Linked DNA regions of Callithrix jacchus. The protein of the gene in region 7 purifies or fractionates together with the protein of the main gene of each other region. This does not show direct contact. Links are inferred from orthologs where the notes say so. Each region holds a gene or a part of one and is shown on either strand. Other genes may lie near its edges. The genes, in order: G3BP2, FUS, DDX5, HNRNPA2B1, ILF2, TRIM25 and IGF2BP3.

Region 1 (4,322 bases), on a different chromosome or scaffold from region 7:
AGGTTTGGCTTAGAAAAAGAAGAATCATTCGTTTTCTTTTTGATTATATGTATTTTAATGATTCACGGCACTCTTATCCTGAATGCTTAGATTTATGAAAGCCAGAAATGTAACCATGCAAGTCAGGGGGTCACAATTTGTTCATGATTTCTCTTCCTTTATTAAGTCAGGTAGTTCCTGAACATCTACCATGTTAAAAAAAATTATACTAGATGATTAAAGGGTGCAAACAGGAATATAACACAGTCCCCGACTTTTCTCTACAAATCATAGAAGTGGATTAATATGTAACTCTCTTCTTCTGAAATAAGGAGTCCATTTCATGGTTGTTCTGTAGGGACAATACCTTGGGGATCTCACCTTCAGCGCATCGGCACCCAACTGTCTATCCCTCCTGTTCAGGGGCTGCTGTTGGGGAAGAAAACAAGTCAAATGCAGGGAAAACTCATAGTAAGCTGTTACTACTATACTCATTAAAGTATAGTAACCAACTTTCCTCACTGAAGTGTAGTAACCTACTGTACCCACCAAAGTTTAAAACAAAACAGGGCCAGGCACAGTGGCTGACATTTGTAATCCCAGCACTTTAGGAGGCCAAGGTGGGCGGATCACCTGAGGTCGGCAGATCGAGAACAGCTTGACCAACATGGAGAAACACCGTCTCTACTAAAAATACAAAAAAAATTAGCCGGGCATGGTGGTGCATGCCTATAAACCCAGCTACTCAGGAGACTGAGGCAGGAGAATTGCTTGAACCCAGGAGGCGGAGGTTGCAGTGAGCCGAGATCACACCATTGCACTCCAACTTGGGCAACAAGGGCAAAACTCCGTCTCAAAACAAAACAAAACAAGGCATTTGATAGGGCTGGTGCCTTTAAACAACTTTGCTAAAATGTCAAGGCACTCTTTTTAATTACTAAATAAGGGGAGTAACAGACAGCTGTGGCCCACTCCATCTGTGAGCCTCATTCCTGATGATGGGGTAGAGTGAGGTTTAGGGATGGGTGAGGCTTAGGGGCTTGAGTGAAGTTCTTTAGAGCATTTCTTGGTAATAAAAATGCTGAGTATTTACTGGTTACCTTTTTTAGGCTGCAACAAAATGCTCCCATGGAAAATGACTACAGTAAAATGTCAAGTGTATATAGTTTTCAAGCAGAGGACAATGCTTAGTGCACAGTATTTTTGGCAGTATGACCCCACCATTCTCCAAGTTGCACAGGCTTAAAATGTTGGCACTAGGAAACACATTGCCTATGATGTGTTCCCTACAATTCCACTTTACAGATTAAAAAAAGGGAACCTCCTCCTTAGCATAATTTTCATATATTCTTTCAATGATTTATTCATTTATCCATCAATATCACCTTTTATGAGACAGTGGTAAGCAACAGAGATATAAAATGAATAAACATAGTCCTGCCCTTAACAGTTTGGTTTAACAAGCGTTTATTGAATGTCCACCATATATAGTATTAATAACTGCAAAGTGCTAGCATATAGATATATACTTAGATTTTAGGGAAAGCTTTCAAGAATGATGCCAAAGTTGAGTCTTAAGGAATTAGCAGGAGTTTGCTTGATGAAGAGAAGGGAGGGGAAGGGCGTATCCACGTCTGAGAAAAATGTCCAGAGTATGTGGGGGAGGCAGAAGCTGAAAAAGTAGTCAGAAGCCAATCACAATAGGCCTGTATGACAAACTAAGGAGTTTGGACTTTATTTTAGAGAGAAAGGGGAAACAACTGAAGGATTTTTAAAAGACTGACATAAACAGATGTTTTGTTGTTGTTAGTCTCTCCCAAGGGAGGACTGGAGATTGGACTTTCTGAAGGAAGCCAGGGCTGAATGCAGACAAACTAGTTAGGAGGCTGTTGCTGTAATCTCAACGAGAAATGATGAGAACATAATCTATATCATAGGCATAGAGAATGGAGAGCAGAGGACCTATCTGAGAAATAGTCATTTATATAAAAATGATAGGACGTGACTATTGATTGGACATGCGTGGGTGGAAAGCCAGAGTCTAAGATTCTTCCCAGCCTCCTCTGTCTAGCTTAGGCACTTATTTGGACAGTGGTACTACTGAGCACGGCATGCACACAGTAGAAGCAGCGTATTGACTTTTTTTCTTTAAGGGAGGCAGGGGAAGATGAGTTCAATTTTAAAGGCTGAATCTGAGACCTGAGGGGAATCCAAGAGGAGAGGTGCATGAGTCAGTAAACTAACTAGACCCTGTGCTTTTTAGCCTCAAGAAATTTACAAGATTATTCCAGAAGCATGTGTACTGACAACCTCACTGCCGGAGAAACAGGCATATCAATTTGAGAAAATGACATTTTTTTCAGGTTAAAAAAAAACACTGAAAACGCAGGGGTTAATAGTTAATAACAAAACATTATGTTACTCGCCAAACTGACACAGCAGAACAATGTATTTCTCTAGTAAGCTAAATGTAGAGTTTGGTGGGTTTCCTTCTGACGACACTTGAAAATTGAGGTGTACCTGGTGTTTAGATCTAGGAATTCCTTTGAGCAGGTTTGAAGAGCAAGAGCTGAGAAATGCGCCCTCCAGTGGCAGTGGAATGAGGGGCGTCTAGTACCCTTTTTACCACCAAACAAAGCCCTGTAAAGAAATGCAATTTACCGGGATAAGAAAGCCACAACGCTGGTACTACTAAACCGTCAAACCAAACGAACCCTCCCAGGGGCCGGAACCCCTTACCTGTCACGTCGGCCGAAGGAAAATTTCACTTTCGACTCAAAAAGAATAAGACCTCAGATTTGATAGCTTGCAGTAAGTCCCGCTCGGGAGCAATTAAACACCCTGCGTGCAAGTTGAAACGCGTAACCAAATCCTCTCCACCCTGCAGGGCCGGGCTTCGACCACGTGGGTGGCTGCGGCCAGCGGGAACAATCCGCGAAGGGCGGGGGTAGAAGCGAGTCCTGAGGAGGGAGGCAGGGCCTACGCAGTGGGCGGGGCTCCGGCGGAACGTAGCTACGAGGTTTCTCTCGCCTCCGCTCCCCTTTTGCCTTCAACCTTCGAGCCGCCACGTAATGCCACGTCCCCGCGCATGCGCATCTTGGCCGCTGCTGGCGGCTGTTTCCGGGCTTAAGGGGCTAGATCGGCCGCCGAGTTGGAGGCGGTGGTGGATGCGGTAGGAGAGTGTGGAGTGCGGAATTGGGGGTCAGGCCCTGCGGAAGGCGGGGAAGTTGTCTTCGTTTCTTTCCCGGAGGGGCCGATAAACCAGGTGGCTGAAAGGCAAGATGAATTTCCTCCGTGGGGTAATGGGGGGTCAGAGTGCCGGACCCCAGCACACAGAAGCGGAGACGGTGAGAGGAGCGGCGGGTCTGGGACTTGGGAAGGGGTCCGGGCAGGGACAGGGAGGGAGCACTCGGAGACCCGAAGGTCACCTCCCGCGTTCCACCATGGAAGGGAGATCCACAAGCCGCCTCCACCTTTGCCCTCCTTCCGCTCTTGAAATCCCAGAGTTACTTCCTCAAGCCCCCATCGTAGTCCCCATCACTGCGGCTTGGCCGGACTGACGGCAGCCGCGCCCCACAAGCTGCGTAGGCCCCGAAGCTTGGGCTAGGAGAGTGGTCCGCGGGTGGTACCTCCCGGGAAGGGACGGATCGGGACAGTGCTGGCGCGAACTGCCTCCCACGCCCCTCGGGGCTGTGGGCCCGTCCCTCCTTCCCTTTCGCCTGTGTCTGCACTGGCCGAGACGAGCCTGAAGTCCTGCTCCCTCCCTCGCAGTCTGAAACTGGGGCGTTGGAGAAGATTGCATGGTTTAAAACCCAGCTGTTGGTGAGAGCATGTGGCTAAGAATAAAACGATATTCTTTGGGGCACAAATCCACCTGCTCCTGTCCCATCAGAACGCCTGGTGTCATTTGTTCCGATCCCGTTTTTTCGAGCTGACCCAAATATATATCATTTGGCAAATGCTACCTTGGACGTAGTAGGGATATTTCCCGCTCAAACTGCTTTAGGGACACATTCACCGCTTTCTGCCTGAACTCGTAAGGACATTATTTGCAGCGTTATTTTTTTTTTAATGGTTAGCCGCTGAAAACAGTATTGAATAGTTGCTTAGATTCTAGGTTTAGAATATACTTATTTTGAACTTTGGTTATTGTTTAATGGAATCGAAGGTGTACGACTTTTTGAAGTAAACTTTTTATTTGAGAATCATTTTAGATATACATAAAAGTGACCAAGTATAACATTTTAATGGCTAACTTTGGGTAGTATTTATGTACATAACTTTGTTCATGGGATCCTGAGGAATAATATAGTAGCTTTCATTTACCTTGTACTCGGTACTGT
Region 2 (3,773 bases), on a different chromosome or scaffold from region 7:
TACAAAAGGGTGTTTTTTTGATTTTGTTTAACATTCCCCAAACATGGGTAGGTGTTTTTGGAAAAAGATACAAGTGACTACTAAAATACATCCCTTCCTGACCACCCCTTGTCTGACCTTTGAGCGTGTCACACACACGTGTGCAATTTCTCAGACACAGTTTATAAAGATTTTGCTTTAAAAGGTTATATATCTATTTCCTCTGGAAAAAAAATGACCCATTTTCCTCGGTCGTTCTTCCGATGGAGCAGATGTTTTTTTTCCTCTTGTCGCAAGTGGTTGACAACCAAGTAGTTGGTTTAAAAACCCTACCCCAATTTACCCAGAAGACATTTCACACCAGGCTGGGGTAGCCCTGAACACATTTTTGTGGTTTTTGCTTTGAAAGCAGCAAGCAGACCCAACCCCATTCCATAAAAAGTCAAAACCAAAAGCAATTTCCCCTTAAAGCAAGACAAACTTAGCTAAGCCCTGTCCTAACTACTGAGCTGTTTTTGATCTCCCCCAACCCCCGGGGTCACCCCTTCTACACTGCGAGAAGAGCGGAGTATTTTGCAATGTCACCTTTCATACCTGTGGCACATAAAATGCAGAGCAAGTTAACAGTCACATAACAGTTGTTTTTCTTTTTAAAGTTTTGCATTAAACACACGCACACAACAGAGTTTTCCTTATTTTTGTACGTTTTTGAGATTGCCCCCACCCACCTCTGCATACTTACCATATCCCAACTTGTTTTAAAAATCTACTTTTTCCAAAAACAGTAACACTGACACTCCTCCCCTTTTTCAAGGGAGACAGGGTAAGGTCCTTCAAATCATATTTACCAACAGATTTGACGGCTGTTTTAACATCAAATCTAAGGTTTTACTCAAATCAACTTCAGCAGGAAGGAAAGAATGTCCAGTTGGACAAATTGATGATTTTTAAGTAACCAGGGGAAGGCAGACAGTGGAACAAATAGTTGGGAGACCACCGTCAAGCATATTTTTGCCCAAAAGGTCTGTACACTTCAGTCGGATGGCCCCACAAACCAAGTCACACACAAAATCACTGTCAAATTAGCGCAAATCAAGCTCGTGGATTCAAATGACTACAGAAAACAGGAAGAGTAGCCAATTCCTAGAAGCTGAAGTCAGGTTAATCATTACCAACTCCCTAGAGGACACATGGGCATACACATACCAAGTTTCCCTACTATTTCCCAGGAGTGGGATCATCGGTTTCCCTTGCAGAGAAAGAAGTCTTCACTTCCGTGTTTCTTGCCTAGGATATCAATGACTCCAATCCATACATATCTATGTATGATTTCTTTCTCTTTGGAAACAAGTATCAATACTCAAAATCTCTATTTAGTGGTATGGATGGGAGTTTCAGCTCCCAAGTTCTCACAAAAATAAAATGGGGATGTAAAAACAGTCACTGACCCCAAATCAAAGCCCTCACAGATCCCTAGACAACAAGAATACTAAACCATGCACTAGGGACTGGCTTCAGGGAAATTCATGCAATCCTCCACACTCCCCACCAAAGATACTCCCTGGCTCATAAGACACCTACCCCATGCCGCCTCTGCCTCCACGGCCACCTCCACGACCTCTGGGTTCATAGCCACCACTGTTGCGGTTGTAACCACCACCACCACCACCACCACCGCCCCTGCCACGGCCTCCACGGTCTTGCTGTCCATAGCCACCACTGCCTCCACCACTCTGGTCTTGATTGCCATAACCACCACTGCCGCCGCCGCTGCCACTACTCATGGAGGACTGATCTTGGCCATAGCTACCTGTGAGAAAAGAAAGAATGGTTTTAAAAAGTCTACGGCCATACCACCCTGAATGCACCCAATCTCGTCTGATCTCAGAAGCTAAGCAGGGTCGGGCCTAGTTAGCATTTGGATAGGAGACCTCCTGGAAATACCAGGTGCTATAGGTTTTAAGGAAAAAAACAAACAAAAAAGTAAAGTAACACAAAAAGGTTCAACAAGTGCCAAGCAATAAAGGACAAAATAAATTAAAAAGACATATAGGGAACAAGAAAGCAATCCCTTTAAGCTAAGAGTCAAACAGGAGAATACAAATCCTTATAGAAAATGGAACTGCTGGCAAAGCTGAGGACATCTCACCTCCACCCCCACCTCCACCCCCACCGCTGCTGCTGCTGCTGCTGCTGTTGTACTGGTTCTGCTGTCCATAGCCCTGAGGCGGATTATAGGAGCTTTGCTGCTGTCCGTAGCCTTGCTGCTGTCCACCATAGCCAGATTGCTGGCCGTAGCCGCCACTCGGGGGCTGCCCATAGCTGCTGCTCTGAGAACTGCTCCCGTAACTAAAGAAAACAAATGAAAAACAAAATCATAATCCCAGCATACCCAAATTTTGTTTTTAGTGTATTCCATTCTCTATACCCAACATAGGTTCCCCCACCCCAATTATACCTCAAAGCTGCTCCTACTCCTGGGTCCCTTTATCATTCCTCATCAATTCACCCCTCTTCAAGCCTTCCCCTGACATCAACACCACTGTACCTTCCCGAGGTGCTGCTGGGAGCTGGCTGCTGACCATAGCCAGGGTAGGAGGACTGCTGCCCGTAAGATGATTGGGAGCTCTGGCTACTGCCATAGCCACCAGTTGAGCCATATCCCTGGGGAGCTGACTGAGTGCCATAGCCTGCTATGAGGATAAAAAAAGGGAGTCACAAAAGCCACAGCAAAGAGAAAATGTATGGAATGGGTTAAAGAAAACATATACAACCTAACACTCACCCATACTCAAAAAGTCAGCCTCTCAGAAGCCGTTAGTTATCTAGCAACTCACAGGCAAAAAGTTACCACCCTCCTTCTAAAACCTAAAGTTAATGCTCCAACTTCTACCAACTCTTTAGAACAGTTCCAATTTCACCCCACCAATCCCAACACCATCTCCAGAAACACCCTCTAATCCCAGGCCCAAGGATCCCTTGCAACCGCACTGCAATGTGCAGCTATGTGTGCAGTTTCTGCAGGACAACCACATTCGTTGGTTATGCTTCAGGACCTTGGGACAAATCCCACCTTCTTAGGTATCATATGATTTTATACATTTTCAAGCAAAACCATTTTCTCAATTTAAGAATCAGCCTGCCAGGAACGGTGGCTCACGCCTATAATCCCAGCACTTTGGGAGGCCGAGGCGGGTGGATCACGAGGTCAAGAGATCAAGACCATCCTGGTCAACAAGGTGAAACCCCGTCTCTACTAAAAACACAAAAATTAGCTGGGCATGGTGGTGCATGCCTGTAGTCCCAGCTACTCGGGAGGCTGAAGCAGGAGAATTGCTTTAACCCAGAAGGCGGAGGTTGCGGTGAGCAAAGATCGTGCCATTGCACTCCAGTCTGGGTAACAACGGCGAAACTCCATCTCAAAAAAAAAAAGAATCAGCCTAACATTCTTCTTCCTTTAGAAAATATGCTCTCTTTCATGCTGAGATGAAAAACAGGAGGACCAAAAAAATTTAAAGCCAAATAAAATAAATGGAAACAATTACAAACCAATAAACATTTTTGTCTTTTTTTGTTTTTGAGACAGGGCCTCAATACACTGCCCAGGCTAGAATGCAGTGGCTACTCTCAAGCACAATCATAGCTCACTGCAGCCCCAAACTCCTGGGGCTCAAGGGATCCTCCTTCCTCAGTACTGTAGGTTTGCCACAATGCCCTGTAAAGAACTCAGACTCCCAAGAGTTTTGAGAATTATACAGTGGTTCAGGGAAAGGAAATATGGAACAGTTTCAACA
Region 3 (4,368 bases), on a different chromosome or scaffold from region 7:
AGACAATGTTTTCCCAGATCCAGTCTGTGCTACTCCAACCATATCCAATCCACTTAGAGCAACTGGCCATCCCTGAGCTTGAATAGCAGTAGGCTCAGTAAAGTTCTGTCTTGCAATAACATCCATGACATTTGCTATAGTGACAGATATTTAGTAAAAATTAGTAATGCCAAGTAAAAGGGAGTGGGTGGGAACAAAATCCCAGTGGTAGATAGAACTGAAAACTAGAATTACCAGGGAAATTGGCTTCATAAAAATTTAGAACTGGCTTCGGGCAGTTGTGACCTCTAACTGTAATCTCCTTGCTTCTTCTGTATGTTTCCACCTCTTGCTGCAAAACAAATTTTAACAGTCTTAAAGTTCATGGCAACCACCCCTAGCTAAATGTAACTGGTAAGCCCCTAAATTCGTAATTGAGTAAAGTAGCTTTCGTTTTTATCTGACCCATATATGAAAACACTATATGGCAAAAGAACAGTTTATTCCGTTCTCAACCTAATTAAGTTAAAAAAAAAATCCCAAAGCCACCTATTGAGTCACAACTTTCCCAATTATGAAGTCAGAAAACGTAACTACCAAAATTGAATCATTTGCAAAACACCTGTCAGATTTTCATTTACTAGAATCCATTACTGAGTTACAGCCTGATGAAGCCACATTAATTTACTCACTGCTGTGCGCCTAGACAAATCAGGGTGCTCTTGATAAAAATTCTTCTCAAATTTGGGCAGCTCATCAAGATTCCACTTCTTTTTAACTAGTTTCTCCCCAGGGTTTCCAAACTTCTTTCCAGATAAAGGCCCTCCCCTGCTTCCTCCAAATCGAGGTGCACCAAACCTGCAAAGAAAAAACGTTATTCACGTTTTCAAATATCTAAACACAGGTTTCTATACAGATTTGTTTACCATCCCTTGACACAAAGCTACAGATCACTGAAAAACGACCTTAAGAGGTTTAGTAAACAAAGCACTGTCCTTAACGATAGTCTTTCTCTTAGCCACAGTTAACATTTCTAGTAGTCCCAAGTACACACTTAGGCCATGTAAACAGCCCTGGATTTATCATGTCGGGAACTTGCGGCCCAGATGCCATAATTTCGGATACACACCACTTCTTGCGGTTACTATAATCTTCCCCACCAGTCTAGGAATTAAGTATCAGGGATAACAAGGATACACGAACCAAAGAGCATCCCAACGATGTTACTCATATGGCCGTTTTCAAGCCAAAGAGCTTTGGTGTTAAAGAATCGAGACAGCACAGACAGCGAGACCAAAACAAGGGTTTTCTCGCAAATACTTCTGCTAGCAAACCGAGCTGGGGGGACGCCGCGGTAGAGCTCCCGATCAACGAATAAAAATTATATAACGCAGGAAAAAAGAAAAGGAGGAGCCGGCGACTACCGGGGGAGGAGTCCCGGCCCGGGCGGAGCCGGCCGGGCGGCGTTCCCGCTGGGGCGGCGCTTCCCCCTTTGTCTCGCATTTCTCTCTGCGCCACATTTTCTCGACGCTGCCATTTTGAGCTCCTCCGCCGGGCGGGGTAACAAAGGCGCCGCCGCCATGTCCGAGGCCGGCATTTTGTACCCGCGACTCAGCCACATGGCTGATGCCGGCAATGCCGACCGCCCTCCTAACCCCCCCCAGCATCAGTGGCTTTAGAAGTGGTCCTAGAGCTCCCACAGAATGCCCGGCCACCCGAAAAACACCTCCTGAAAGGCAGAATCTAAGAGCTGCTACTTCGTCTTACTCGAAACGTCGTGCTTTCCAACGCACAATATGCTCCCTCTGAATTCCTCCAACAGCTACCAAATGGCAGCGGCCCCGACGACTTCCTAATCCCAACAAAAAGCGAGCTTGAGGGCACTACACCGATAAACCACTCCCAATCACTGTTACGTGATTATCAAAATGGCGCAAGTGTTCAAGAGACGAGGCCCCAGGAGAATCCGGAAAGGCCGAGTCCGAGCCCCAAAGCCCCCGCCGGCCGCCACCCTCACCTGCCGTCCCATCCCCCACCTGCTAGGCCTGACAGCTCGGCTTCCACACTCACCCTCGATCCCGGCCGCGGTCTCGGTCACTCGAATAACCCGACATGGCGTCAATGGTTGCGGTTGGCGGGGAACGAAGTACAGACAAAAGGGTGCGACGAGTCGCTGGAAATGGCCTCGACAACAGCGAAGCCTTGCGGGGGCGGCAGCGGAGGACGGACGGCGATGACACAATCCGGAGCTACAAGACCACAGACCGGTGAAAATGAATGAGGTGCCGGCCGCTTTCCGGCAGCCGCTTTTATAGTCTGGACCGCCTCCTACGCCGCAAGGAACGCTGGGATCCGCTCTATGACCTAATCGCCCCGCCCGTCGCGCAGAAGCCGCAACGGCAGCCGGCGCTCCAGGAGAGCCTCTCAGCTCAGGGCCCACCCACTATTGGAATGTCTCATTCTGCACTCTCTTGACCTTACCTTCTTCTCGTCTTTCCACACCTCAAGCAAGCCACCCCGCCCTTTCCCAGGCCCAGCCAGACGATAAAACAGCCTGCCCAGGCCAGCCAACCCTCCTCACTCGGAGATGTTTACGTCTCCAAAGGGCCCTCACGCCCGTAACCAAATGGCAGGCGGGGACTGGCGTGTCACGTGACTACCACCCCCGCCACCGGTCAGCGGGCCGCACTACTTCTCCGTTGACGTCGGCGGAGGGATACATAACGAAATAGTACCGGAAGTGCGCTCCCAAAGCCCCAGGACCCGCCTGGGCTGCCGACCCACGGATCTGACAATCATCTACCGGGTTCTGGCCAGCGGAGAATGGTCTCTAAACTCAGCAAACCGCCGCCCTGGCACGTGCTGTGAAAGGAAGTGCTGCTCTGTGACCAATCAGCGGCGAGCAGCCCCTTTGATGTCCCTCCCTCTTTCACGCCTCCTTCCCAGCGCTTGGGTTCGTTCGCCCTCATCCAAGCGTCGAATCTGTGTGGATCGGTCCTTCCAGGACACCGTAGCCTGCCTGGCCTGTAGGGGTCCGGCGGCAAACTGCCTCCAAAACATGGCCGGCTCGGAGGCTGGTGAGTGTCGGCCTGGGGTCACGGTTGGTGTGAACTGAGGCCGTCCAGCTTCAGGGAGGCCTTGGGCTGGCCCGGACTGGGTCTAGGCTGTCGGCGGGACTCGTGACTGTCAGACGCCGCGTCGCGGTGGCGGGTTCTCTGGATAGGGTCTCTCAGCTTTTCTCCTTCTCTGTGAGGCTGTGGAACAGTGATAGGCGGTAGGAGAGAGGCACTGGGGCGAGCCTGGTAGCACACTCGGGTCTTGGGTGCAAAAAGAGCAACCAGAAGGGTCGTTCCCGGACTTGTCCTTCTGTGGAGTTGTCTGGCCGCTGTCAGTGTGCCCTCCGCCCTTGTACTGTGGGTCCTGAGGTCTAATCTACTTTTGTATTGGTCTTTAAAGGAACAGCACCTTAAGATTTGTTGATGCCCATGTCGCAGAATACTGGTGCTTTTTTCTCTTCAGTGTTCTCTGAAGTCATGGGCTTTGTCTAGCAACGCTTTTGAAAAGCGAATTGGTTTGGTTGTCTAGGACGCTTTCATCCTTTTCGCCAGGACTGCATACAAACCAGTTCTCACGGTTTGGCCAACTGTGAGAAATGGGCGTGGGGAGGGGAATTATGTGCATGGAAGATACACTCATTTGTTTCCAGAACGTTATGTGTCCGGAATATAGTGGAGACGTTTGTGTCTAGTACCGAAGGAAAGTGCTTTCCTACCAATGCCAGGCATTTCAGGGAACAAGTATTTTATGCGAAGTTACTTTTGCTAGAGAAACCGTTAAACTTTGCAAGTCCCAGCAATATCTGGGAGAGGGGAGTCCGGAGCACAGGAAAGGTCAACAGTATTGATAATTCTGAGCTTAGGGATGTTTTCATATACTTCCCATATTTCCTTTCATTTAGATCAGTATAATAAAAAAGAAAAACTTAATAAATGCATTAGCGTTGATGTTGTCATTATACCAGTTCTTAATAGCCTAAGTTTAATCACCACGTTTCGGGCACTGGAGAAATCCTGACTTCACAGGATAATTGGGGAAACACACGACCGATACTATTGGGAATTTGAAGCAACATCCATTAATGAGTTTTTAGTAACCTCGGATTATCGTTAAACTGTTGTTTATGACAGTATTCTCGTTTACTTGTAAATATGTTTTGACTAAAAACACCCATGTAATATAACTAAAGATTTAGACTGCAACAGTGGCAGTTGAATTTACATTATATAGTTTTGGCTGTATAGAAGTTACAGCACTCTGGAAATCATTCCAAGAAATTAAATACATCTTTTCAAAAATCATGCCTTAAAAGAGTCTTTGAAATTCTATAAC
Region 4 (4,277 bases), about 2.9 Mb from region 7:
GAAAGAGTGACGGTTGCCACAACTCTCTGCTCCCTCGAGGGCAGAACAGTCCCCCAATTAACTGCAGGCGCTAACCCGCGCCACGCCAGCCGCGAGGCCACCGCCCGACCTTCCGCTCCTTCCCGCAGCTCCAGGTGCGGGGTCTGGCGGGGAACGAAGGGAAGGGGAGCAAGGAACCGGGCCCCCGGAGCGTGTGTGGTATCTAAAACACCGCCACTGAACGAGGGCTAGACAAAAGGAAAACCACCGACTTCACCGCCTCCGAGGTGCTCCGGGTCGCGGGTCTGCGGCGTCTTCGGCCCTGCGCGCCAGCAGCTCCAGCCACATCCAAGTGGGGAGGGAGCCGGGAGCTGCGCAAGGGGCTGCGGTGGGGAGGGGCGGCACCGCCTACGCCGGGCGGCCACGAAAGGCGGGGCAGCGGGCGCGCGCCCGGCGGGAGGGGAGGGGCCGTGCGCCGCGCCCCCTGGGAACTGGGGCCCAAGGTGGGGAGGGCGGCTGCGACGACCGCGGCACTTACGGTTTGCAGCGTGGCTCCCGGTGGTCCCCCGAGGGGAGGGAGAGGGAAGGAGGGGCGAGGACAGCGACCTGAGTCTCTCGGCGGTGGCTTTTCTGCCCCGCAGCCTCTACGGCTGGCGCCAAAACCGGACTCCGCCTACTTCCTCGCCCCTGGGCGGGTGGGGGGTGGAATCCTCCAGACGCTGGGGGAGGGGGAGTTGGGAGCCTAAAAACAACTCGCTTTGGGACCCCTTTTGGCAGGGACTCCTGTACGCCAGAGGTCAGCCCCATAGGCGCGGGCCAGGGTTAGGTCAGTGCGGCGTGAATAGTAATTTGACTATAAGTTGATTCGGGTGTTTCCGGAAGGGGCCGAATGGGGGCACGGAAAACGAAAAGGGAAAGCTACGAAGATTTTTATGGCGGGAGAAGGAAGGAAGGTATCAAAGGCGTAGCTGCAGAGACCACCTCCCGTGTTGAGGGGGCTGGACCTCCGGGCTGCGGTTTAAGCTCCTCCCGTCGGCGTTAATTTCAAACTGCGCGACCGTTTCTCACCTGCCCTGCGCCAAGGCGGGGGCGGGGGGGGCGGGACCCTATTCTGAGAGGTAATAGGAGGCAGGCCTCGAGCCTTCCTCAATTCACTGAGCGCATTTACGGAAGTAACGTCTGGCACTGTCGCTAGCCGCGAGGTGGGGAGGGCTACGCATTTGGCGTAAGGCGGGGCGCAGAGCCTTCCCGCCATTGGCGGCGGTTAGGGCGTTTACGCAACGGCCTGACGTAGAGGAAGACGCGTTAGTCGGGGGGGAAGGTTCTAGAAAAGCGGCGGCAGCGGCTCTAGCGGCAGTAGCAGCAGCGCCGGGTCCCGAGCGGAGGTTCCCCTAGCGGTGTTGTTTCTCGAGCAGCGGCAGTTCTCACTACAGCGCCAGGACGAGTCCGGTTCGTGTTCGTCCGCGGAGATCTCTCTCATCTCGCTCGGCTGCGGGAAATCGGGCTGAAGCGACTGAGTCCGCGATGGAGGTAACGGGTTTGAAATCAATGAGTTATTGGAAAGGGCATGGCGAGGCCGTTGGCGCCTCAGTGGAAGTCGGCCAGCCGCCTCGGTGGGAGAGCGGCAGGAAATTGGACCGCTTCAGTAGCAGTGGGTTCTAGGTTTTTGAACAGGGTCTTGACAGAGGCCTGAGCGTACAAACAGCTTCCCCACCCTCAGCCTCCGGCGCCATTTCCCTTCACTGGGGGTGGGGGATGGGAAACTTTCACATGGCGGACGCAGCCCCGCTGGAGTGAAAGTGGGGCGCGGAGGCGGGAATTCTTATTCCCTTTTTAAAGCACGCTGCTTCGGGGGCTCCGGCGTTTCGGCGGCGAGCGTTTCGGCGGGCAGCGGGTCCTCGTGAGCGAGGCTGCGGAGCTTCCCCTTCCCCTCTCTCCCGGGAACCGGATTTGGCGGCCGCCATTTTCATGGCTCGCCTTCCTCTTAGCGTTTTTCTTTTAACTCAATTAATTCTCCTAGTGTGATTTCTCTATCAAGGCTTAGAGGTGGTTAACTGTTTCTCTTTCTTCTCGGGTTGTTTTCATACCGTTTCGAGGTGGATTTGGAGTGTTTTGTGAGCTTGGATCTTTAGAGTCCTGCGCACCTCATTAAAGGCGCTCAGCCTTCCCCTCGATGAAATGGCGCCATTGCGTTCGGAAGCCACACGGAAGAGCGGAGCGGGTGGGGGGGTGGGGCCGGGTTCGCAGGCCCGGTTTCGGAGAAGGTACACCACTCAGAGCATCGGGCCGGGTTCAACGCCAGCCATAGGACAAAGAAGCCATTATATATTTTTTCTGTTCTTTTTCTTTTTTTTTTTTTTTTAACTCCAGTGATGGTTTTATCTCGGTCCTCGGTTACTAATAAGGCAGATGAATCCCAGCGAAGTAGACACAAATTGGAAGCCCTCGGCCACGAATGGCAGGGAGAATGGTGGTTTTCGGGGCGGGGGAGGGATATTCACGTCCGAATCCTTTACTGCCCTTAAGGATTTCACTTAAGTTGTAGAGCTCAATCATTTTAAAAATATTTTTACTGAGAATTTTGATCTTTACGGGGTCAATCCACGGATCTTTAAAGATTACGAGGAAAGTGAAAACTATTTTGTCCTTAGTCGTAATTAGGTTAAAACATGGCTTCAGAGGCTCCTTCCTGTAATGCGTGTGTATTGATGTGCAAAATTGTATTGGGCCTGGGCCGCTCTGTATTTGAACTTTACTTGCTTTTCTCATTTATGTTTGCAATCTTGGTTGATCATTACATTGATAAGCATAAGGTCTCAAGCGAAGGGGGTCTACCTGGTTATTTTCTTTGACCCTAAGCACGTTTATAAAATAACATTGTTAATAACCGATAGTGGACGTCGGGTAAGTTTGGAAAAATTGTGAGGTAAGTAATGAGTTTTTGCTTTTTGTTAGTGATTTGTAAGACTTGTTAATAGATGTGCATTATTCTTAATGTGAGTTTGAGAGACACATGTACTGACGACAAAAGCTAGCTGAAAAAAATCAAAATATATCTTGGCAAGTAATCATTTCGAAAGACGGCTATGTGTCTTTAGGAGCTAGTTTGATACTTTGTTAGTTTTTTTAATTTTTACGAGTCCTGAAGACACCACAAGAAAAAGATCTGAACTGGCTTTTATCACCATTTTTTTTTTTTTTTTTAGCATTTGGGAGCATGTGGATGGCGGGAGAGCTCTGTAGAACTGGGATGAGAGCAGCAATAAATGGCGCTTGCTTTGAACAAAAAATTCTTGACTCAAAATGATATGTGACTCTAAATTTGCATTATGCATTCATAGCAATTGTCTTGGATATATATGACTGATTCTCGTATGAGGTTTTAACCTAGTTACCTTTTAAGACAGGTTTACTGAACGTTCTTTTTTAACTGTCCAAAATACAATGCTGTGTAGTACAGCATATTTGTTGGTTCCCAGGTATTAAAATATTTCATCTCTGAGGTTTTTCCTTTTGACTTGGAACAGCGTTTTGTGCCGTGTCTTCCTACATGGCCAATTAAGTTCAGTAAGCTTCACCTTTCAGTATCTTTAAAACACTGCTTAGAGTTTATGCCAGGTGAATGTATTGAGTAATTTTTAAGGTTATTTCTAATGCATATCTTGACTGATTGTTTTGTAACTGAGAGTCGTGGAGAAACCTAATGTTAGTGTTTTTTTTTTTTTTTGGCTGAGATACTTAGAATCACCACCAGAGGGGGCAGTTAAGGGAAAATAAATGCTATTTTTCAGATACTGAATCGTGAATTTTGTTCTTAAGGAAGGATCCAAGAGTTATTTTCTAATGTTTAAAAATATAAATCTGCGTTTTTAGGTTATAGGGTTGGAATTTTTGGGTAAAAAAATTTTTACTAATCTTTGGATAACCACGGTCTACATTTGTTCATTTCTCCTTAGAAAGCTTTTTTAATTAATAATTTGTTTAAGATAATTTGATGTTGAGTAAATTTAGATCAAGCATTAATGACTTTGAAACTTGTGTAGATCAGCTGAGGCAATTTTTTGGTGTAACACAACTAATATGCAGTTTAACATATGGTTTAAATTTGATGTAAGTTTTTTTTTTCCCCCCCAGAAAACTTTAGAAACTGTTCCTTTGGAGAGGAAAAAGGTACTCTGCCAGCAGGTCACCTCATATTTAAGAATTTAATTTCCTGCATACAAAGAGAAAAATGTAAATAAAAATTGAAATGGTGTTTTCCTTTGCAGAGAGAAAAGGAACAGTTCCGTAAACTCTTT
Region 5 (4,559 bases), on a different chromosome or scaffold from region 7:
TGGGCATGGTGGCGTGTGCCAGCTACTCAGGAGGCTGAGGCAGGAGAAATGCCTGAACCCAGGAGGCGGAGGTTGCGGTGAGCCGATATCACGCCATTGCACTCCAGCCTGGGTAACAAGAGTGAAACTCCGTCTCAAAAAAAAAAAATAAAAAAATAAGTGTATATAATCTGTGTACATATCCACCTGGCTATCTCTACCCACAATGAGAAATAAAGAGAAAATTAAACCTTCTGTGGCTTTCAGGCTACCTTAACACCATTCTTACCCTTACCAACAGTTACTCTTTACCAATACTTTTAACTGTTTTAGAGACATTTCTGGAACACAGCCAAAAGAACATACCTGTTCAGCAGAATTGGGAGCCAGGTCCTGATTCCTCTTGAGCAAGGCCTCGCTGAAGGAAGTTTCATCAGGTGCTGGCTTGACCCGGGGGAAGGCCATTTCACACTAAATCAGAAATAAACAACTACATTCTATTTACCAAAAATAATACACAGGAAAGATTGTTTTCTCTGTTACTACAACAGAATAAGTTAAGAATAGAAAATTCTATACTTGTTTTCACTCCTTAATTTGTTCAATTAGCTGGGCATGGTGGCTCACACTTGTAATCCCAGCCACTTGGGAGGCTAAGGTGGGAGAATCACTTGAACACAGGAAGCAGAGGTTGCAGTTAGCCAAGATCGCACCACTGCCCTCCAGCCTAGGCGACAGAGTGAAACCCTACCTCAAAAAAGAAACAAAAAATTGTTCAAAGGCTGGGCTGGGTGGCTCACGCCTGTAAATCCCAGTACTTTAGGAGGCTGAGGTGGGCAGATCACTTGAGGTCATGAGTTCAAGACCAGCCTGGACACCATAGTCTCTATTAAATAGAAATACAAAAATTGGGGCTGGGCGCAGTGGCTCACGCCTATAATCCCAGCACTTTGGGAGGCCAAGGCGGGTGAATCACCAGGTCAAGAGATTGAGACCATCCTGGTCAACAAGGTGAAACCCCGTCTCTACTAAAAATACAAAAATTAGCTGGGCATGATGGTGCACGCCTGTAGTCCCAGCTACTCGGGAGGCTGAGGCAGGAGAATTGCTTGAACCCAGGAGACGGAGGTTGCGGTGAGCCGAGATGGTGCCATTGCACTCCAGCCCAGGTAACAACAGCGAAACTCCATCTCAAAAAAAAAAAAAAAGAAATACAAAAATTAGCTGGGCATGGTGGCAGGCCTCCCAAGTAATCCCAGCTACTTGGGAGGCCGAGGCAGGAGGATCTCTTGAACCCAGGAAGCAGAGGTTGCAGTGAGCCAAGATTGCACCAGCCTGGGTGATGGAGTGAGATGATGTCTTTAAAAAAAAAAAAAGTTCAACCAAGGATACAAGCTGGAATAGCCATAATTTAAGCTATCACTATAACAGATAAGCCATAGATATAATTACTTGTTCAGAAAAAAGATAATCATATTTAATGCCAATAGTAGCCAAGGAATTAATCTCCCCACCCTGCTTACACTGTTTCTGTATGTAAAGCAACACACTGTTGAGCTGTTGACTCAAAACCCCAAGTCTTTTCATAAATCCCTTTCCCTCCCTACTTCACTTTTTTTTTTTTTCCCAGTCCTGCCATCTCAGCTCGTTGCAACCTCCACCTCCCAGGTTCAAGCAATTCGCCTGCCTCAGCCTCCTAAGTAGCTGGATTACAGGCACATGTTCAGCTAACTTTTGTAATTTTAGTAGAGAAGGAGTTTCGCCAGGCTGATCTCAAACTCCTGATCCACCTGCCTCGGCCTCCCAAAGTGCTGGGATTACAGATGTGAGGCACTGCACCCAGCCTCTTCAACCACCATTTAGCTTCATCAACTGGGAGATCCGGAGCTCCATTTCTAGTGGCCAGTAAATGTGTATGATTAACCCAAGGTACTCACCAAATAGAAGTCAAATGGGATATGTGGTACAAAGGGCCTGAACCTAAAACATGAAAAACAGCTAAATTATTCCCTATGTAGGAATCAAGTGAGATGTATAACACCAGCAATTTTGAAAACGTGTCAGTCCTCAGAATGAGTGACAAAGTCTCTGGGGAGGGGGAATCATTCTTAGCATAGTGGGGCCAAATTCATTTAGCAGGGGTGCAGGTAAAGACCACAGTTGGCTCTCACAAAACCAAGTGACTTTAGTCTTCCCCAAAACTCCTATTTAGATGACAAGCAGAAACTAACAACCAAGTCCAGAGATGCTAAAAACCGGCACTCACCCTCCTCCTGGGCCTCCTCTGGAACCAAAGCGCCCACCACGACCACGGCCTCTGTCACCCCTAGAAACGCAGATTTTATTTTGACCTCATTGAAGGAATACTCACCGGCCATATCATTTTAAGGTGGCTACTACTTTCATCCCTCGGAACCTCCGAACGGCAGGCAAGAGACCCCATGCCCACTTGCACTTTTCCCCATTCCAAATGGTGCCCAGTTATACATCCCCATAACCTCCTCATTCTGGATGAGTTAATCACAACCCTGCATCAAGTGATCACGGGGCTCAGACACTCAGCCCCTACACGAAATAACCCATAATCCTGGGCCACACGAATCCTAATACTTCGGAGGCCAGAAGTTGCACATTTCTTCATTAACGTACGCATTTATGGGGCATGTCCTCTGTGTCAAGCCCTTTGCACTGAGGATGAAAGCGGCTCGCTGCAGCCTTCTCACCCCAGATGGGGGGTCGGGGGAAGCTCCTCCGGGGACTTGAGGACACCCCCTCATCGCAACCCTTCAGAGACAAAGGTGCCGAACCCGCCTCCCCACTCCTGGGCCCCAACCCCATCCCGGGCCCAAGTTTCCCCGCCTCTGCCGGCCTCCCACTCCCCTACTCTCCCAGACCGGGAGTTCTCCGGTTTTTGGCCAGCTCCCGGACACACGGCGCTTTTAGGTCCTCCGACTTCTTTCGGCCCACGTTCCCAAAGTTTTCCGTCGAATACCTGCAACCTTTCGATCACTTCGACCCCCTTACCTCATGGCGGCTTAAAACACGAACAATGGAGGCCGCACCAACCGCCCCTTTGCTCCGAGGAGCGGAAAACTGAAGAGGCGTCTTGCCGGCGTGTCCCAATAAAACCCAGCGCGATTGGCTCCCGCCTAACCCAATCGTTTATGCCTATTGGCTTACTCTGTCAACCCGGGCTTATGAACCAATAAAAAAAGCCTACTGTGTCAGGAACTAGCCAATAAGAACTGGTTCTATAGTAATGGCGGATTTTTGGTCAGACATTAGGTGGCACTAAAGAAATAGGGACAACAGCTACATAGAGAGTCTTCTATAACAGTCCTGAAAAAGAGTGGCTTGTAGATAGCAGAGTGGCGCAGCGGAAGCGTGCTGGGCCCATAACCCAGAGGTCGATGGATCGAAACCATCCTCTGCTATCGGATTTTTTTCTTTTTTCATTTTCGTGTCCTATACGGCACACATAATTTAGGTTTCTTCGGTGAATGAAAACATCAAAATATCTTCTTAAATTTTCCTACCTCAAAAATACAACCGATGTCAGCCGGTTTTCCCACTCGGAGTTGAAGTTGTTGGGGAAAAGGGAGTTTGGGCAACAATGAACATTACATGTCTACAAACTCGAGACAGAAGAAACAGGTTTCAGATAGGAGAGGAGAGTATTGATTGAATTAGTGCAGAAAACATGATTAGTGAGAGAATACGGGGGAAATTGAGACAGCCCTTGGGGAGAGGGCGCAGAAAAAGGAATGGGGGGCCTAGACGCTGGGCGCGATGGCTCACGCCTGTAATCCCAGCACTTTGGGAGGCCGAGGCGGGTTGATCACCCGAGGTCAGGAGTTCGAGACCAGCCTGGCCAACATGATAAAACCCCATCTCTACTAAAAATACAACAACAACAACAAAAAATAGCTAGGCATGATGAGTGCCTGTAATCCCAGCTACTAGGGAGGTTGAGGCAGGAGAATCGCTTGAACCCAGGAGGGGAGGTTGCAGTCAGCCGAGATCGTGCCATTGCACTCCAGTCTGGGCAACAAGAGCGAAACTCCGTCTCAAAAAAAAAAAGTAAAGAAAAGGGGGGCAAAGTAAGGGGCAAAGAGAGGAGAATCCAACTCGTCCCCGTTGCAGTTTCCCTCCAGTTCTCTTCCCTCACCCCACAAATCTGGATGATGGACCGGGCACGTTGGTTCACCCATGTAATCCCAGCACTTTGGGAGCCCAAGGCGGGCGGATCACGAGGTTAGGTGATCAAGGTCATCCTGGCTAACATGGTGAAACCCTGTCTCTACTAAAAATACAAAAAAATTAGTCTTTGTCGTGGCGCGCGCCTGTAATCCTAGCTACTTAGGAGGCTGAGGCAGGAAAATCGCTTGAACCCGGGAGGCGGAGGTTACAATGTGCCAAGATCGTGCCACAGCACTCCAGCGTGGGTTACAGAGCGAGACCCCATATCTACTAAAAAATACAAAAAATTGGCTGGGCATAGTGGCTCACCCCTGTAAGCCAAGCACTTTGGAGGCCAAGGCGGGCGGATCACATGAGGTCGGGAGTTCAAGACCAGCCTG
Region 6 (3,773 bases), on a different chromosome or scaffold from region 7:
GTGTCTCAGGGATGCTTCCAGTGACCTCTTCCAGTCCCCAGCTCCTTGCGGGCCCTATCATCAATAGCAGGACATCAGGAAAAAAAAAAAAACCATTCAACAATGCCTCCTGGCAACCCACCTCCAGAAACTCGAACTCATCCCCCTTGGTCAGGCCCCGTTCAATCTCCTCCTTCAGCGTCTGGATCTCACTCTTCTTCTTGAGGAGAATCTGATAAATGCTGTCCAACTTGGTGTTGACCTTCTTCTCCTCCTCCTTTATCTTCCATGTCAAGGTGGTCTCTGAGGTGTCCAGGAGAGCCTTCATTTCCATGTATTCTTGTCGTAGCTGCTCCACCTTTTTGTTTGCAGTCAACTGAGAGGGCCAAGGTAAGAGGGTGCTTGTCAAATGGGCAAAAACGCTGAGGCTGCAGCCCCAAGCATTGGTAAGATGTGGAGTTCTGGGAACTCTTACCTGCACTTTCTGGGAGAGCAAACCACTTTGGAGAGCAACTTGGTAAAATCTAGTACCTTTGGAGGTGCTCATATGCTATGACTCAGCAACTCCAGTTTTAGTAATACATGCTACAAAAACTCACAGCCACCTGCCCCAGAGACATGCACCAGAATGTGCACAGGCAGCACTGTCTGAAGTAGCAAAAACCTGGAATCAACCTGAACGTCCACTGGTAGAAGGCTTGATGCAAAGACTGGGAACTATTCATAGGATGGAATACTAAACACTTATGAAAATTAATAAACTGGAGCTATGCATGGATGAATCCCCATGAGAGAAAAACAACTTGCAGAAGAAGACCAACCACATGATGCTCTTTCAATACAGCTTAGAAACAAGCAGAATGGTTAACATGCACAAAGAAATGCATAGGAATGAATGAATAAATTCAGGAGAATGGTTATTTCTGGAAGAGAGGAAGGGGACAGAATAAGGGAGAAACAGGGCCAGGCACAGTGGCTCATGCCTGTAATCCCAGCATTTTGGAAAACTGAGGCTGGCAGATCACAAGGTCAAGAGATTGAGACCATCCTGGCCAACATGGTGAAACCCCATCTCTGCTAAAAATACAAAAATTAGTTGGGTGTGGTGGTGCACACTCATTGTCCCAGCTACCCAGGAGGCTGAGGCAGAATTGCTTGAACCCAGGAGGCAAAGGTTGCAGTGAGCCGAGATCACGCCATTGTGCTGCAGCCTGGGCGACAGCGCGAGACTTCGTCTCAAAAACAAAAAAAAAAATAAGGGAGAAACAGATGGGAGGGGCTGCAGCAATGATATTTTATTCCTTAAGCTAAAGGCAGTTCATGGGCAATTTTTAAAAATAAAAGTCAGGGCCGGGCGCGGTGGCTCAAGCCTGTAATCCCAGCACTTTGGGAGGCCGAGGCAGGTGGATCACAAGGTCAAGAGATCAAGACCATCCTGGTCAACATGGTGAAACCCCGTCTCCACTAAAAATACAAAAAAATTAGCTGGGCACGGTGGCGCGTGCCTATAATCCCAGCTACTCAGGAGGCTGAGGCAGGAGAATTGCCTGAACCCAGAAGGCGGAGGTTGCAGTGAGCCGAGATTGCGCCATTGCACTCCAGTCTGAGTAACAAGAGCGAAACTCCGTCTCAAAAAATAAAAATAAAAATAAATAAAAGTCAGGATGCAGCTCTGGAAAATTTCTGAGAATATCATGCTCTAGAACTATACTTCCCAATAATATAACCACTTGCTACATGTGGCTACTAACCACTTGAAATGTGGCTAGTCCAAATTGAGACTCAACATGAGTATAAAATACATACTGGCTTTCAAAAACTTTACACCAATAAAAGGCATGTAAAATATCTTACTGCTTTAAAATTGATATGTTGAAAGAATAATATTTCAGATATACCAAACTGAATAAACTGTAATATTAAAATTAATCTCAGCCAGGTGCAGTGGTTGATGCTCATAATTCCAGCATCTTAGGAGACCGAGGCAGGAAGATCACTTGAGGCCAGGAGTTCAAGACCAGCCTGGGCAACATAGTGAGATCCCTTCTCTACACAAATAAAAATAAAAAACTATTATTCCTATAATATTATTATAAAATATATAATAATAAAAATTATTATTCCTATAAAAAAATTAGTATTCCTAGCTAGTGGGAGGTGTAGGGTGGAAAGGGGGCGTAGGCTGAGTCAGGAGGATTACTTAAGCCCAAGAGTTCGAAGCTGCAGTGAGCTATGATTGTTCCACTGCACTCCAGCCTGGATAAATAAATGAAATAAACCTAATGTACTATCGAATTAATTTAAAGTTACATCTGCACTCCCACTATATTTCTGCTGGACAGCACTCCTTCAGCAGCTGCAATTTTGTTTCCCATCTTGGATGGCCTCAATAGCTGCTATGGTTTGAATGTCTCCTCCAAAGCTCATGTTGAGATTTAATTGCCATTGAGGTGATTAGGTCGTGAGGGTTCTGCCCTCATGAATGGATTCATGTTCTTCTCACAGGGGTTTGACCTTCTCTTTCCTGTCTCACTCTCCTGCCTTCCATCCTTCCGCCATGGATGATCCTCACCAGATGCCGGAAGCATGCTCTTCGACCTCTCAGCCTCTAGAACTGTGAGCCAAATAAACTTTTCTTTGCAAATACCCAGTCTGTGGAATTCTGTTATAGCTGCAGAAAATGGACTAAGACGATAGCTCAGAATCAAACATAACAAAGAAAAAAACACACGAGAAGGACAGCAGACTGGAAGAGAGGAATTCAAGTATTTCTTCACCAATCTTTTATTTATTTATTTTTTTGAGACAGAGTTTTGCTCTCATCACTCAGGCTGGAGTGCAATGGCACGATCTCGGCTCACTGCAATTTCTGCCTCCTGGGTTCAAGAGATTCTCCTGCCTCGGCCTCCCAAGTAGCTGGAACAACAGGTGTGCACCACCACACCTGGCTAATTTTTTGTATTTTTAGTAAAGATGAGGTTTCACTATGTTGGCCAGGCTGGTCTTGAACTCCTGACCTCAGGTGATTCATCCGCTTTGGCCTCCCAAAGTGCTGGGATTATAGGCGTGAGCCACCGTGCCCAGCCTTCTTTGCCAATCTTTTACTGTGCAGCATCTAATGTGACTACAAGTGTCCACAGTGCTCATTTTCCCCTTTTTCCTTTTGGTAAGAGAACATTCCTGGAGTTTCTTCTGGGCATGTGGCTACCCAGACTACGTTTCCCAGTGTCCCCTGCAGCTAGGCTAGGCAATGTGACTAGCTCCTTCCACTGACACATGACCAGGAGTGATATGTGCAACAGTGTGTCACTTGTGTAAAGGGAAATTGCTTGTTGTCCTTCACTTCCTCTTTGTCCCTTTTCTCACAGGCTAGAACAAAGGTGTAATGGTAACCCAGCTTCAACCAAAGAGGTTGGGACAATACTTTGTGGAATAGTAGGGCAATAAGAAGGGAGGACCCTTAATCCCCAAATGATCACATGAACCCCTAGTCTGGGTTACTCATGTTTGGGTTTGGACTGTCAGTTGGCAAAACAAACTTTGATCATATTTAAGCCTCTGAATTTTGATGTGCCTTGTTACAGCAGTTTAACCTGCCCTCTAGCCAATAGAGGTACTTTCATGTGCATCCTTTCATGTGTCTCACAATCATCTTCAGAAAGAAGTTGTGTCTCCATTGTGCAAATGGGAAAACGAAGGCTCAGAGATCTATCAACAAGACCAAAGTGACATAGGCTAGTATGTGACAGAGCTGGTATTCTAACCCAGACCTCATCTAATTAAACCAAAACTGC
Region 7 (3,773 bases):
CCCCATTGCATTCCAGCCTGGGTGAGAGAGAGACTCTGTCACAAAAAAATTTTTAAATAACCACTATGGCACACGTATACCTATGTAACAAACTTGCACGTTCTGCACATGTATCCCAGAACTTTGAATTAAAAAGAGAAAAAAATTTTTAAATAAAAAAAATCACTAAGTTTCTTTTCCTGCCACCTCAGGGTCCCAAACTTTTCTTGTGATATTTGAAAACACATATTGACAACCCTACTATCCAAAAACTTCAAAATAATCCCATGTCTACTCCACACTCCATAAGTCGGCTTCATTAGCAAGAACTGGAGAGTATATGTTGGCTCTAAATAGATGATCACCAGGGAGTAGGTTTACATTAAGAGTTTGCCCAATCACAAAGAAAGCCAAGGCCAGTTATCTTACCTCAAACTGTGGGTAGGGAGGAGTCATGGCTGAAGGGGGACCTGAGGTGGGAGGTGGCATCCCTGAAGTGGGTGGGAACAGACCCAAGGCATTCAGATTTAATCCAGGAATTAAATGTGCTTGAAGCTGCAATAGTAAAAAGGACCCTTAATTTGACAATTAAATGGATCAAGGGAAAGTGAGCATTTTTAAGTGACAATATTCAAACTACTGATCTAATAAAAAAACCATCTTATAAGTCAGAGCAGATGTTCCATGGGACTTTACTTGAGTATATCGTTTACAACTGCATTAAGAGATCTCAAGGGCAGCCTTCCTTTTCCTTATGACTAGCTCACAGGGCTTAGACAAAACTGTACTCTACATATTGTGGGCAAACTAAATACAGACTGAAAGTGATGTATCCGAGTTTAAGAGGTAATCAAGTGAGATTGGCTAACTGAAAAGCAAACCAGCTATTAGGAGATCTTTACTCGCTGGGTAAAATTTAGCAACCATGGGTCTAGAAAACTCAAAGTCGAGCCCTCTGGAAATTGGGACCCATCCCCATGTAACTACTGCAAGTAAACATATCACTGGAATGGATATAGGAGCCAGAAAGGGGATTTTAATTTGTTTAATTTTATAAGGGTTGAGGATGTAATGTAGATCGTGGAAGGGAGATTAGAGTGTATGTGACAATCTTTTTAAAAGGCCTATGGGGGTTAGATTTAATCCCATTGATTCTAAGACATTTGGAGCCAAGTAGTGATAATATGAAGAAGGTTGGCAGGGAGTCATGTGGGGTGTAAAATAGTTTGCATTCTAGACTTCCTGACAAAGGCAATGTTTTCACGTTTTCTTTCTCTCAGGTTTTGTGTTTCAGATGTCTCGCCCAATTGAAAAAAAATTTTTTTTTAATCATTTACTTTAAAATTTAAGATGGACTTTTGAAGTTTTCCACTTTCAGCACCATTTCACTCACTAAGCAATGTCAGCAATTTGCTTTAATAGCCTCAGATGCACTATGCAGACTGTTTAATCAATTGAAATTCTTGTATCTCCAAGGTTTATATGGGTAACCAAGCAAGTTTTAAACCTGTAATCTTAACATTAACTTTGATATGCATTAGGGCTATTGTAATCCTAATAAGCATGCAAGGTAGGCAGTAATCCCATTTTACAGATGAGTAAACTGAAACTCAGAGAGACTAAGTAAATCATCTAAGAGAATAGAATTGCAGCTAGTAAATAGTTTGCCTGTGATTCAAATCCAGTTCATGTAATATTCCTTCTATATTAAACTCTCAAATTAGCATCGTAAAAGAGGTACTTACTATATTAACCTTTGTAGGTAGACACCAGCCTTACTTCAGAGAGAAGGAGGCTAATGCTTGAAGACTAAATAATTTGCTAAAGTCACAGAGACAGCAAAGCTTAATGTCAAAGCCAGTATCTTCACCACTATCCCAGGGTACTTGCTGCGGTGCTAAAAATCAGCTAGAACTTCTTCTAATGATAATGCCACAAAATAATTCACTATGAATGCAGTTAGAAACATCATTTTAACTATTTTTTAAAATAAAGACATGCCCTTCATAACAAAACTAACATTCATAGAAGCAATATCATTTTCGTAAGACTCCCTGATTTTCTTCATGATCTCTTCCTCAGCTTTAGCACATGTCTCAACATTGCCTTTAACTGTAATGGTGCGTTCTGGATTATACAGCGTCAATTCCTGCAATCTGCAGAATGAGAAAGAAGGGAAAGAAAAAGAATGAAAATTGTAGAAAGAAGGCAGTTAATAATTATTCTGCCACCCATGGCAATTAAAAACAAACTGTGGAGCTTGGTAATATGTAAAAGTGGGTGGTAAAACATGATGGGAAATGAGTAAGCCCCAAAAGACATAAATCCAAAATTGTAAAGCTGCAAGAGAGAAGAAAATACTTGGCCTCCCATCTTCTCAAGTAAAGATTACTGGGTACATATAGTTCAATCAAGTCCTTCTTTTAAATATAGCTTACTTCTCAACCTCTTAAAGTTGAACCATTTTCACAATTTAACAGTGAATGGAAAAATGACTGGAAAGATGTATAGTTTTTTGGAAACCATATACTCTAAGTACATAACCTTTCCTAAGTATGTTCCTAGTCTGGACTAACCAATTCTAGGCATAATTGGCATTCTCATGCAATTGTATTTTCTGGCTCACCAAGCAAGGAGAAAGAATGGAAATATTCAAAACCACAAGCCAAACTTCACGTGTCTAAACTAGTTTTTACCATCTTTTTTTTTTTTTTTTTTTTTTTTTTTTTAGAATTTAGATTGAAGTAGGCTGGAGGAATATCAGTCCATCTTGAGTAAAATTTAAAATGGTTCACTGATGGCCATTTAGACAACAAAAACGTTAGACAGTGGCAGCAATATTCAGACACTCCCTGCAGGACCTAGGTCCTGCTGAACCTTCAAAAGCCACTAAAAATCATACCTGAAAACACCTAAGCCTATGCAGGAAAGTGATGAGAGATATTTGCCATGGAAAACAGAACTAAGTATATAAATTGAGAGGATATGGGTTATTGGTACAAATCCCCTTCATCTTCCTGAAGTTCTCATTTTCAGTACTAGTAAAATGTCATAGCCTAACCTTCCCCCAGATGAATGGGAAGTTATTCCTTAACATTTTCCTAAAACTTGCTAAAAATATGAACATTTATATAATGAAGACTATTTCTCTTAGACTACTTCAAAAAGAAGTATATAATTCTAATTCAGTTTCAACCTGCCCTGCCAAGCATTTTGTATTACAGTTTTTAAATAGCTGTTTCTAGAATCACTGTTAAGATTTTTTTCTTTTAAAACTCTCCCCTTTCTGGGGGTAAATTTAAGACAAAGTAGTATTACTGTATTTACCACTTCGTGGGTTTTTTCCTTTCTCTACAACCAAACCGAAGTTTCCTGCTTCTGTACTACCTCCTTTGAAAACTTGCTACACAACACTGTGCATCAGTCATTCCCCTACCATTCTTCTTCAGTTCATCAATCTTTTCCCACCATTTGAGTACTCTGACTGAAACTAAGAATAGTCACCCTCAGAAAAAGAAAAACCTTTCTAATGTAATTTGAGACCATCCAGATTCTAGGTGTGGTAGCCTGCCTCCAAGGTGACTCCCTGCCACCCAGTTATCTGCAGTCCACCACATACGTACCAAACAGGGCTGACTTGTGTAAACAATATTAGAAAAATGATAGAGTATAACTTCTGAGGCTATGTTATAAAAGACAATGCAATCTTGACAGCTGCCATGTCTTGAGGACACTGAAGCAGCTCTGTGGAGAGGCCCATGTGGGAGGAACTGAGGCCTTCTGCCAATAGCCAG

What was found.
Region 1: the proteins of IGF2BP3 (region 7) and G3BP2 purify together in Homo sapiens (affinity purification with mass spectrometry; 3 studies listed by BioGRID and IntAct, with this or other methods). This does not show direct contact. The link is inferred for Callithrix jacchus from reciprocal best matches to the Homo sapiens genes IGF2BP3 and G3BP2.
Region 2: the proteins of IGF2BP3 (region 7) and FUS purify together in Homo sapiens (affinity purification with mass spectrometry; 3 studies listed by BioGRID and IntAct, with this or other methods). This does not show direct contact. The link is inferred for Callithrix jacchus from reciprocal best matches to the Homo sapiens genes IGF2BP3 and FUS.
Region 3: the proteins of IGF2BP3 (region 7) and DDX5 fractionate together in Homo sapiens (co-fractionation; 3 studies listed by BioGRID, with this or other methods). This does not show direct contact. The link is inferred for Callithrix jacchus from reciprocal best matches to the Homo sapiens genes IGF2BP3 and DDX5.
Region 4: the proteins of IGF2BP3 (region 7) and HNRNPA2B1 purify together in Homo sapiens (affinity purification with mass spectrometry; 4 studies listed by BioGRID and IntAct, with this or other methods). This does not show direct contact. The link is inferred for Callithrix jacchus from reciprocal best matches to the Homo sapiens genes IGF2BP3 and HNRNPA2B1.
Region 5: the proteins of IGF2BP3 (region 7) and ILF2 purify together in Homo sapiens (affinity purification with mass spectrometry; 3 studies listed by BioGRID and IntAct, counting the BioPlex papers as one, with this or other methods). This does not show direct contact. The link is inferred for Callithrix jacchus from reciprocal best matches to the Homo sapiens genes IGF2BP3 and ILF2.
Region 6: the proteins of IGF2BP3 (region 7) and TRIM25 purify together in Homo sapiens (affinity purification with western blotting; 3 studies listed by BioGRID, with this or other methods). This does not show direct contact. The link is inferred for Callithrix jacchus from reciprocal best matches to the Homo sapiens genes IGF2BP3 and TRIM25.

The regions. Positions count from the first base shown.
Region 1 is NC_133504.1:122,417,610-122,421,931, reverse strand, and holds the start of G3BP2 (ras GTPase-activating protein-binding protein 2), read right to left. Parts: upstream 2,858-4,322; 5' UTR 2,719-2,857; intron 2,620-2,718; exon of another isoform or gene 2,500-2,619; intron 409-2,499; exon of another isoform or gene 406-408; 5' UTR 347-405; intron 1-346. Other genes in the region: USO1 (general vesicular transport factor p115), read left to right, coding at 3,261-3,326.
Region 2 is NC_133513.1:30,697,958-30,701,730, reverse strand, and holds part of FUS (RNA-binding protein FUS), read right to left. Parts: intron 2,673-3,773; coding exon 2,528-2,672; intron 2,329-2,527; coding exon 2,129-2,328; intron 1,939-2,128; exon of another isoform or gene 1,820-1,938; intron 1,790-1,819; coding exon 1,561-1,789; intron 1-1,560. UniProt on the Homo sapiens protein: DNA/RNA-binding protein that plays a role in various cellular processes such as transcription regulation, RNA splicing, RNA transport, DNA repair and damage response. Binds to ssRNA containing the consensus sequence 5'-AGGUAA-3'.
Region 3 is NC_133506.1:89,766,604-89,770,971, forward strand, and holds the start of DDX5 (putative ATP-dependent RNA helicase DDX5), read right to left. Parts: upstream 2,826-4,368; 5' UTR 2,715-2,825; intron 2,622-2,714; exon of another isoform or gene 2,461-2,621; intron 2,264-2,460; exon of another isoform or gene 2,229-2,263; 5' UTR 2,094-2,228; coding exon 2,050-2,093; intron 838-2,049; coding exon 672-837; intron 332-671; coding exon 235-331; intron 135-234; coding exon 1-134. Other genes in the region: CEP95 (centrosomal protein of 95 kDa), read left to right, coding at 3,038-3,056. UniProt on the Homo sapiens protein: Involved in the alternative regulation of pre-mRNA splicing; its RNA helicase activity is necessary for increasing tau exon 10 inclusion and occurs in a RBM4-dependent manner. Binds to the tau pre-mRNA in the stem-loop region downstream of exon 10.
Region 4 is NC_133512.1:31,901,041-31,905,317, forward strand, and holds the start of HNRNPA2B1 (heterogeneous nuclear ribonucleoproteins A2/B1), read left to right. Parts: upstream 1-1,331; 5' UTR 1,332-1,503; coding exon 1,504-1,509; intron 1,510-4,113; coding exon 4,114-4,149; intron 4,150-4,247; coding exon 4,248-4,277. UniProt on the Homo sapiens protein: Heterogeneous nuclear ribonucleoprotein (hnRNP) that associates with nascent pre-mRNAs, packaging them into hnRNP particles.
Region 5 is NC_133519.1:14,091,356-14,095,914, forward strand, and holds the start of ILF2 (interleukin enhancer-binding factor 2), read right to left. Parts: upstream 3,059-4,559; 5' UTR 3,009-3,058; coding exon 3,004-3,008; exon of another isoform or gene 2,874-3,003; intron 2,306-2,873; coding exon 2,246-2,305; intron 1,960-2,245; coding exon 1,917-1,959; intron 451-1,916; coding exon 346-450; intron 1-345. UniProt on the Homo sapiens protein: Chromatin-interacting protein that forms a stable heterodimer with interleukin enhancer-binding factor 3/ILF3 and plays a role in several biological processes including transcription, innate immunity or cell growth.
Region 6 is NC_133506.1:109,423,086-109,426,858, reverse strand, and holds part of TRIM25 (E3 ubiquitin/ISG15 ligase TRIM25), read right to left. Parts: intron 356-3,773; coding exon 122-355; intron 1-121.
Region 7 is NC_133512.1:34,781,286-34,785,058, reverse strand, and holds part of IGF2BP3 (insulin-like growth factor 2 mRNA-binding protein 3), read right to left. Parts: intron 2,136-3,773; coding exon 2,000-2,135; intron 535-1,999; coding exon 409-534; intron 186-408; exon of another isoform or gene 1-185. UniProt on the Homo sapiens protein: RNA-binding factor that may recruit target transcripts to cytoplasmic protein-RNA complexes (mRNPs). This transcript 'caging' into mRNPs allows mRNA transport and transient storage.